Linked DNA regions of Arabidopsis thaliana. The protein of the gene in region 2 interacts with the protein of the main gene of each other region in a pairwise test. Each region holds a gene or a part of one and is shown on either strand. Other genes may lie near its edges. The genes, in order: AT3G04930 and MBD02.

The links.
Region 1: the proteins of MBD02 (region 2) and AT3G04930 interact in binary tests that used the Arabidopsis thaliana proteins (3 or more experiments, as listed by UniProt).

The regions. Positions count from the first base shown.
Region 1 is NC_003074.8:1,360,676-1,365,300, reverse strand, and holds AT3G04930 (DNA-binding storekeeper protein-related transcriptional regulator), read right to left. Parts: upstream 2,805-4,625; 5' UTR 2,273-2,804; coding exon 902-2,272; 3' UTR 682-901; coding exon of another isoform or gene 650-681; 3' UTR 502-649; downstream 1-501. Other genes in the region: AT3G04920 (Ribosomal protein S24e family protein), read right to left, coding at 3,236-3,265, 3,352-3,438, 3,636-3,806, 3,900-3,941, 4,241-4,312.
Region 2 is NC_003076.8:13,522,665-13,527,522, forward strand, and holds MBD02 (methyl-CPG-binding domain protein 02), read right to left. Parts: upstream 3,135-4,858; 5' UTR 2,957-3,134; exon of another isoform or gene 2,612-2,956; 5' UTR 2,607-2,611; coding exon 2,161-2,606; intron 2,056-2,160; coding exon 2,002-2,055; intron 1,584-2,001; coding exon 1,426-1,583; intron 1,222-1,425; coding exon 1,061-1,221; 3' UTR 739-1,060; downstream 1-738. Other genes in the region: AT5G35320 (DBH-like monooxygenase), read left to right, coding at 101-480. UniProt on the Arabidopsis thaliana protein: Probable transcriptional regulator.

The DNA.
Region 1 (4,625 bases), on a different chromosome or scaffold from region 2:
ACTTATAGAAGAGCTTACCAGTTCCAGATCCAATCGAAGAAGAAGAAGAAGAAGAAGACTGTCGACAAAAAGAGAGAACTGTTCTAGTGTTCTGTCAAATTAGCGATAAGCTTTTATAAAGTGAATTATTTGCATATACACACACACCATCATCCACCACCAAATATATCCACTCGTTTATACATTTATAAAAAATAATCATGTATCTTCCATAGGTATTTTGTTAAAATCATTGTATAAACTATAAAGTCAATAACAAACCTACCTAACATTCTTTGCCTCGTCACGTGGACAAGTTTCTGCCTTCTTGAATCTTTAAATTGTTTTGATTATGCCTTTTTTTTTTTACTTAATCAGGAAAGGAATCTTCTGATGCGTACTAGCAAGAAACACAACATTGGTTCTTTTTTTCAAACACAAAAGTTTTTAAGTAACTACATTAATCAACATGATAAAGAAAGAGGTCAAAGTTTAATACACTTCAATAACAGTATCCGATCTAGAAATAAACATGTTATTACAGATTTTATTAGACAAAGAAAGAGTAGCACACAATTTAGAATTATTATTTTTCTTCTTTTTGAAAGAAAAACAGCTAGAAAGTCTGTTTGTTATTGAACAAATGATTCTACGAAAAAAGAACTATAATCTAATACAAAAGGTTATACACAAACCCCCCTCCTATGATTCATCCCTATTGACAAATAATTTAAAGATAAGAAGAAGAAAAAAAAATCAAAATGATGAAAAAACCTAGAGAAAGATCACAATACCTTACCAATTTATAACTTAAAAAGATCCAAATCTCTTACTATACTCACTCACACACCAGAAGGTTAACTCAAAGATATCAAATATCAACCTAAATGGTTCCTTGTTGTCTTATTCTTCTCGCCCTTCATCATATACCACTCGGCATCGTCTTTAACTCGTTCAATGTCGTTCTAATCTGCTCTTGAACCAACTCTAATCTCCTTGAATACACTTCCAATTCCAGAATCTGTTGTTTCCTCCACCGCTCATCTGCAACCGCCTTGTTTCCTCCTCCCTCTACACCAAAACCGAAATTGAACGGCCGTGTAAACATGGGGCTTAGCGAGCCAAAACCATGACCACCACCACCACCACCACCACCACCAAGACCCGGAAACCCTCCTCCCATTGCAGCCATCATCATACTTGTTGTCCCATTCATCATCTCTTTGATCACAGGAGAGACACAGTTTTTCACAGTCTCTTCGATCAAACCCCCGAGATTTCCTCCAATACCAACAGCTGCAGCTTCGTTGAGGTTGACATTGCTAGCTATTGGCCCATCAGAGGGAGTGATGACAGGTTTGTTGTCTTCCTCAATCTTCCCAATTCTTGATCGTGATCGTTTTCTCGACACGCTACTGCTACTCATTGTCAATTTCTTCTCGATTCCATTTTCGGAGTCGAGCTCCAGAGTAGGATTAGAACTAGGGCTGTTAAAGGTTGAGTAGTTACCATTGGTGGTGTTATGATGGTTATTGGTTTCTTCGAAATCCATTACGTTGTTATCTTCAAAGCCTATGATTTTCCCAGTTTGGTTCCAGATTTTTCTAGAAATCTCGAAAGTAGACTGATCATGAGGGCTCTTGAAGAATACCTCTTTACCAGAGCTGATCTTGCTCATCACATTCCTGTACTTCTTCTTCAATCTCCGAAGCTTCTCCACCAGCTGGTTCTTGTTGAAATCCAGCTGAAGTTTCGACTTTATCTGCTCATAAAACGGCGCCGTATCCGGCGGATGCGAGCTGCTTCCGCGGTGCATCGTCATGTAATCGAGAAAACCACGAAGAAGCTCGATCTCGTCTTCGTCTGTCCACAGCCTCTGGAAAAGGCGTCTAGAATCATCGATCGGTGGTCTCTGATGGACGATCTCCGTCATACGGTGCCACTTCGGATCGGAATCAACGGGAATCACGGAGACAGGGACGGCGGATCCAGCCGGAAGTGCAACGGTCACGGCGCCTGTAGAGGAAGTCGCCGTCGGGGTCCCGGAAACAACAGCAGTCGCTGAGATCGTAGAAACCATGGGGAGTGATGATGTAGACGGAGAATTGAGATCTTCCTCTTCGGGATCGTCGTCTTCAGCTTCAGCTTCGTTCGTTCCCGGCATAACAACATCATCGTTGTCGCGCAAATCCTCGTCGGTATCAGATTCTCCTCCGTCTGCTACACCTCCTTCGTCCGGATCAGGCGATTCCAGTTCCAGAGAGAAAAGAGCGTCGCGGTGATCCGATGTCATCTCCACCGTAACAAATGAACGGAGAACAATTCGAGATCAGCTCCGATGAGATGGAGAAGAGACCAAGAAGAAGAGGAACCAGATCCAGATTGGAGAGAAGGTGGTGTGTTCGTTCACGAGGATTGTGATTGGGTTGGGTGGTAGGGGCGTGAGAATCTTCGACCAAACCAGGGGTAGTTTTGGTATTTCCAGACTTAACGTTTAAGACTAGGCAAAGTGGTCACCCACTACTTACACACACGCGCTTCCTTATTTGCGGATTGGTTGGAGCCGTGACGTCCTCACTCGGTCCCAACCACACTCGGTAACTAATAGCGTTTTCTAAACGCGGTTATTTGGTAGAGCGTTTTCATTAACGTGATTAGCTAGGACAAAACAAACAAACAAGCCAACCTAAACCGTATGTAACTAATAAGACAGTACCCAAAACCAAAATAAGCATATGTTGTGCGGTATAGAAAATTATAATTACTGTTCAAATTCAGTGATTGACATGTAATTATCACAGTTTTTCCATTAAAATAGTAAGGAGCAAAAGTGATATAATAAATTAGAAACTTTGCGAGATTTCATAATTATGATCTAAGTAAATTTTCATTATATGTGGGTAAATAACATCGATAATAGCCAGAGAGACTCACGTTTACAATCAAACACAGCCGCACGAGTAACCGATCAAGAATTAAATCACCTAAGGAACAAGAAAATGCTTATATCTGCTGCGCATGGGAATGGTGGAAAGAGACGAGAGAGAGATTAAATAGTTGTATTGAACAAAAACCTTGGATCATATGTTTCTCTAAACTCAAAACATAAACTGACCAAAACAAAAATAAACGAAAATCTCAGATTTCAGTAAACATGTCTAGTTGGAGAAACGATCTAACAGCGGACAAATAACATAAAAGGTGATTGATTATGGAGAACAAGAACCCACAAGATAAAGATTCTCTCTTCAGGATCTCACTTCTTCTTGGCATCACCAGCCTTTGTCTGCAAACATTGATCAAAACAGATTCTTAAAGCTACAGTCACAATCAAAAACAGAAGATAGCAAGAGGGAAAACCAGTATACATACCTTCTTAACACCACGGATTTTCTTCGCCCTGTTCTTCCTTTCCTTAATTTGTTTCCTTGACTTCTCAATCTTAGTGTCAAGTCCATTCTGCCAACCACATAGACAAAGCATGTTTAAGTATAAAGATGCAGAGAACACCAAGTGCAATACGATATAAAGTCCGAAACTTATCACATAGCTTATAATTTTCAGACAAACAGTAATGAGCAAGAGTAATGATTTAAGACGGGTCAATGTGAGTAGCAATATATAACAATGGAAACAAGAGTGGAAAAAGCATTTACCCTGATAAGTCTGTATTTGGGTTCAAACTTCTTAGCGCTCTCAACAGTATCATAGATCAAACCAAACCCGGATGATTTACCACCTCCAAAGTGGGTTCTGAATTTGAATACGAAGATTGCATTTGGATCCTTGACCTCGTACATCCTTGCTAGCTTCTCCTTCAGCTCAGCCTTGCAAAAATAAAACCAACTCTCCCGTTAGAACCTCTCATAGTCTATCAGAACTCGAAATAGATGAAGTAACAAAGTGAGTAAAGAACAAACCTTTGAAACATTGGCTCTTCCAGGGTGAAGAACATCAATAACCTATATTTTCAACAATCCACCATAACTTAGAATTTCATTCCAAAATCTCAAACGGAACTAAATTGCGCCAGATCAATACTATATGATCTAAACACTATCTATGCTTTAACATTAGGTCGTAAATCTGAAAGCCTGACCTAAAACATCAAACCCCAATTATAAAAATTTGACGAGACAACGAATGCATTCTCTCGAGATTGGGTTCATATCAAATTATAACTAGATTCCCATTAAAACAAAACCCAGAAGAACAAAAATGATATGCAGATAGAGAAGAGAAAAAAAATAATGGAACTCACGAACTGCTTCCTGGAGAGAAGTCTGTTGGTCATGAATTTCCTGGTTCGGATGGTGACCGCCTTTTCAGCCATTTTTGCTACTTCTCAAGGATTAAAGTGAAAGATCTCTGCAAGCTTGAGTGTTTTCGTCCGCTCAGGTGAAGGAAAGAGACGCCGAATCGAAGTCGGAGCTTTTATATAGTTACAAGTTCCTTAGGGTTTCTTTTGTGTTCTCTTTGTATGGGCCTCAACTTTTAATTTGGGCTTACTTAATCCTAGCCGTTTGGTTTTCTAGGTTTGATTAATAAACATTTACATGGGAAAATAAAACGAAGCCCACTGGGCCTAAAATATTTATAGCCTAGTGTCACAAACAATTGTCATTGGACATTGGTTAAAGTCTTTG
Region 2 (4,858 bases):
GTTCTGGTTCGTTTTGTTTGTTTGCCTTTAACTTGTGATCCAGAATGTTGACTAAATACAGACGGTTGTGTCTAAATTCTGAATGTTAACACTTGTGCAGATAGATTTCTTCGCGATGTATCGATAGCTGATGATAATCAGTATGAAGATGAGAGATTAAACAAGTGTCAAGCTGTTGTTTGCTGGAATCCGTCTCAGTCTACTTACTCACAGTCCATAGGAACCTTCCAACAACCGCGGACACTAGAGATTACTGAGTTGGATGAGACAGGTGAGGATGTGGTAATGGATGATGCATCCAATGAGATAGAAGAGGATACTGGAAGCACCAGTCTATCTTTCCCTCAGCAAGGACAGCAGCAAGAGCAAGAGCACACCTATGGTTTTGGCTTGCATCCGTGGCAGCAAGCGCAAAACTGTATGATTCCGCAGCTTCCTCAAGTCAGTACTACTCCCACTCCCATCACTTGGTTCCGATGATACGGCTTAACCACGGGAAAACTGAATAGGGAATGCACGAAGCAGGATAGTAGAAGGCAGATTTGTTGTTAGTTTTTGTTTCTGCCTTTTGCGCAGATTAGAGATATGGCATAGTTTTGTTGTTGTATGTTTACCAAACTAATAGCTTCAGCCATATCTCCCCTAGGATGGTTTTGACTTTCGAATGTTATCTTTTGGATGTCGTTAAAATATCCTTTGAGATAAACTACGTTCCAACTTAACATGCACATCTACAGTTAAACAGACTCTGATCTATTCTTATCTGCTTTCTTGTGTCAGTCCTCTAGTGGATTTGTGAGATAATGGAATTTGGTAATAATCAAACTTTAGGTTTAAAAACTTTCAGCATGAAAATCCAGTTATTTGGAAGCAAAAACCAAAAGGACCCATCTTCTTCATAGAAAGTATGTTACACTGCAAAACAAAATAGATGGTATACACAAAAAACAAGCTAACCACATGCTTTCAGTTTCTTCGATAAGACAAACCCAAAAAACGAAGAAAGAAGACGGGTTATATACCAGAGAAGACGAGATAAGTTCACTCTCGTCTAGCTAGATTATCTATCAGCAAGTTCGTCGTTGGAGCCAAAGATTGATAGCGTCGATGTTTTTTTCTTTTTCGATGGTTGGTAATGTGAATTGTTAAGTCCAGACTCGGTTGGCGTACCTAGCTGCAACGATATATGATCATCTGGAGATATCCATGCCAGTGGATTAGCTGAAAAATAACAAGACAAGCGAAATGTTAGAAACTTGTAAAAGCATAGACGTTTTCATGTTAATAAAGTTCCCTAAAGACACCAATGTTCGGTTCGAGTATACGTCAAATACACTCTTGACTGAAAAAATGACATCAATAATCTAAAGCCTTGATACAAAAGATAACCACAATTATATTTATGTGCCTTGATAAGCAACACACCTTCTTTAGCTACAGGGGTGTTTGTATTATCGATGGAATCCAGTAGTCGAGCTGGGCGCTTCCTCACGTAGTCATCCTGCAGCGGTTTCGGGATTTGAAACGAGAACTGTGAAAGTTTCACCCCTTCTCCAATGTATTCGGAGTTGTCATTCAAGTACCTGCAAACCAGTAATAGTGGTTATAAGGGTGTAAAGAAGCTAGCTATACGTCACTGAAAACAATTTGGTAATCACTAAACGAATTGGTAAGTCACTAAGCTTTTTTCTCCTACCATTGTTGTCACTCTCAAATGCTGCAGGGAAGTATCATGGAAATAAGGATGATAGTTTAACTAACTTCTTGGCATAGTACATTTTCGTTAGTAAACAAAACACATGCAAGGATTTCTGTAATTTGCATAAGTGCCTAACTCTAGTTATGACCACAGAACAATACTTGAGGTTCCTACTGATTCAATATATTGGTTGACGAAAATGGTAAGACTGATACAGTGAGACCTCATCAAACATAAAAGTAAGGAACACTTTGTTAAATGTGAAAACGAAAATGTGGAAATGGAGTGGTAGAGAAACTAACTTTTGGACCTCCACAGTTGATCGAAGCTTCTTTCCAGACGGAGCAACATAATAACTGAAACAACCAAGATAAAAGAATGATAAAGAAAGCCAATACAATGGTATAAAGAAGAAAGACTAATATTAACATAAATGAGAGAAGAGTTAACGAACGACATACACATCAGCAAATCTGGTACCTCCTTCACCTCTAATCCGCAGTAAACGTTGCCAGCCAGCGGGTGGACGAGAGATATTCGGTTTATCAATAGCCCAAAGACGAGTTCCATCTTGATAGATATCAGCAGGAACATCACAAGAAATATCCGGCTTCCACTCACGCGCTGTATCGCAGAAAAACGGGTTTTCAAGAAGCTGTTCCCTAATCTCTTCATACTTCTGCATTGAAGGCATGAGTCTCCATTTGAAACAACTTGCACACTGAACCGTAAATGCCCCGATAGAGGGACACTGTGTTCTAGATGACAAAGGCTGAGATTGAACCGGTAGAACTTCTTCTTCAGTATCATCATTTCCTTTCAAGTCATAAACCACTAACTGATTCTCACCTCTATCCTCATTAGGTGAAGACGATCTTTGGACAGCTCGAGACTGCGACATACTCATAGAAACTACCTATAATAAATGGTTAGAGAAATGAATGTCAAGTGAAAACAAAAATGACAAATTTAGTTAACAAGAATCATTCATCACAATAACACTAGTCTCTCTATTAACATCATAAGAGAACATGATCAAGAAAACATTGATACGTGTAAAGAACAGTGAACAGTAGAAACCCTCGAACATTTCAATCTCAAAAATCAACAATAATCATAAAACAGAGCAAAGGAAACAACAATTATCATATAATCAAAGAAGAACATGAGCTGATAGAGACGAGATCCAAAAAAAAAACAATTTCATCGAAAAGCCGAAACAAAGATTAAAAATTTATCAAGAAGAAGAATCGTTACACGAAGAGGACGAGAGCAAACCAGGGTTTCAGAGATCGGTGAGCGAAGAAGGCTCTAAAGATCGTTGTGGTTAATTTGAGAATTTCATTTTTTGAGACAGAGCCAATTCAGACAACACTCTTTGTCTAGATAGAAAATGGGGAAACCGAGAAAGAGAAGAGAGAAAGAAACTGAATTTAATTTATTTTGTATAAATATAAAATTTGTTGTTACGAAAATAATTCTTAATTTACATTCACTTCAAAATATATCATGCTATAAGTAGGAGAATATTTGTGCTTTTGGGCTTATAAACAAATCTTACCATTAATCAAAATTTCCTTCAGAAAAAAAGAATCAAAGGATAATTCTTTCTAATATTAGATATGGATTCGTGTTGTGCATGCTAAATAGATGAAATATGTCTAACAAATATTTGCCATTGTTTAACAAATATTTTGAGACTTCCATAATATGTAAATTAAACTTTAATAAAAACAAATATATGTCAATTGTTGATTTTTTTTTTTTGGGTCAAAATATATGTCAATTGTTGATATAAAATATTAGGCCTGCGACTTCGGGTAAACCGAACCGAACCGAGTCGGTTATTTCGGGTTTCGGTTATTTTGGATTTTTGAAAATTCTTCCGAAACTAACCGAAATTTATTACGGTTCGGTTCGATTCGGATATTGGTTTCTTTGGTTTTTAAGTTTAAAACCCGAAAATAACCGATTCTTTTTTTTTTATTTTTTTTTAACATTAACAGATATACTTTATTAGAGGGATGATGTGTAATCCTATGGAGGATTTGTACAAGAAACAGAGGTACATAAGAATGAGAGACAAAAGTAACAATGTTTTCTAACTCCACTTTAGCTAATCGATCAGCTGCTTTGTTAGTTGACCGGAAAGACCATTTGATAATGGCAGTAGAAAACTTCTTCCGCCAATGTTGTATCTCCATGACGAGGTTATGAAGTTCAAAATTCCTTGTGTTCCCATTGAGTAAGCTTTCCACAGTCCTATTATCACCTTCAAATATAATCTTTCGATATCCTCTACTCCATGTATGTTGCATTGCCATCAAGAGAGCCTGTAGTTCCGCTTCTAGCACTGAGTTGCATAGTTGTCTTGTACCTTGAGCCGCAAGTAGATAACTGCCTGTGTCAATTCGTAAAATCCAACCAGCCTTTGGTGCTAGATCATTCCTTGAGAAACTGCAGTCATAATTGCATTTGATAAAGCCGTGAATAGGTTTTTGCTACCCTTGCCCGCTTCTGTCATTTAGACTTCGTCGTTGTGTGTCTCGCTGCAGAGGAATCCACTCATATGAGTCTGTTATCGCTTTTTGTACATCATCTTGCCAATTACTCCCTTTTCGCTGGTAAACTAACAAATTCCTGCTCTTCCATATGTGCCACAACATCCATAAAGGTATTTGTCTTGTGATATGGTCTTGTCTCGTATCAGTACAGCATTGAAGGATTAATCTGAATTTATCTTCAAAAGGTAAGTGTGGATTGAAAAACGCTGTATGTGACACCGGAGAGCCCCTCCAAATAGCTTGAACATAATGGCATCCAAAGAATAGGCGTTCTAATGTTTCAGGAGCTGCACAACATCGTTTACACTGTGAATCTGAAATGATATGTCGTCGTGTCAAGGCCTCGCCTGTCGCCAATGATTGAGTTACTATCCGCCACATGAAGTGCTTTAGTTTTGGTGTCGTGTCTAGCTTCCATACTACTCTCTTAAACTCGGGTAAACCTGGTGGGGGAACATAATCATGTTGTTGATTCGGTAGATGTGTACAGAGCCAATAACTTGATTTGAATGTGTATTCCCCATGCTTTGTGTAGTTCCAGCCTAGTACATCAGGGGACGGTTGTGATCTTAATCTTAACCTTGTATCAATCGTG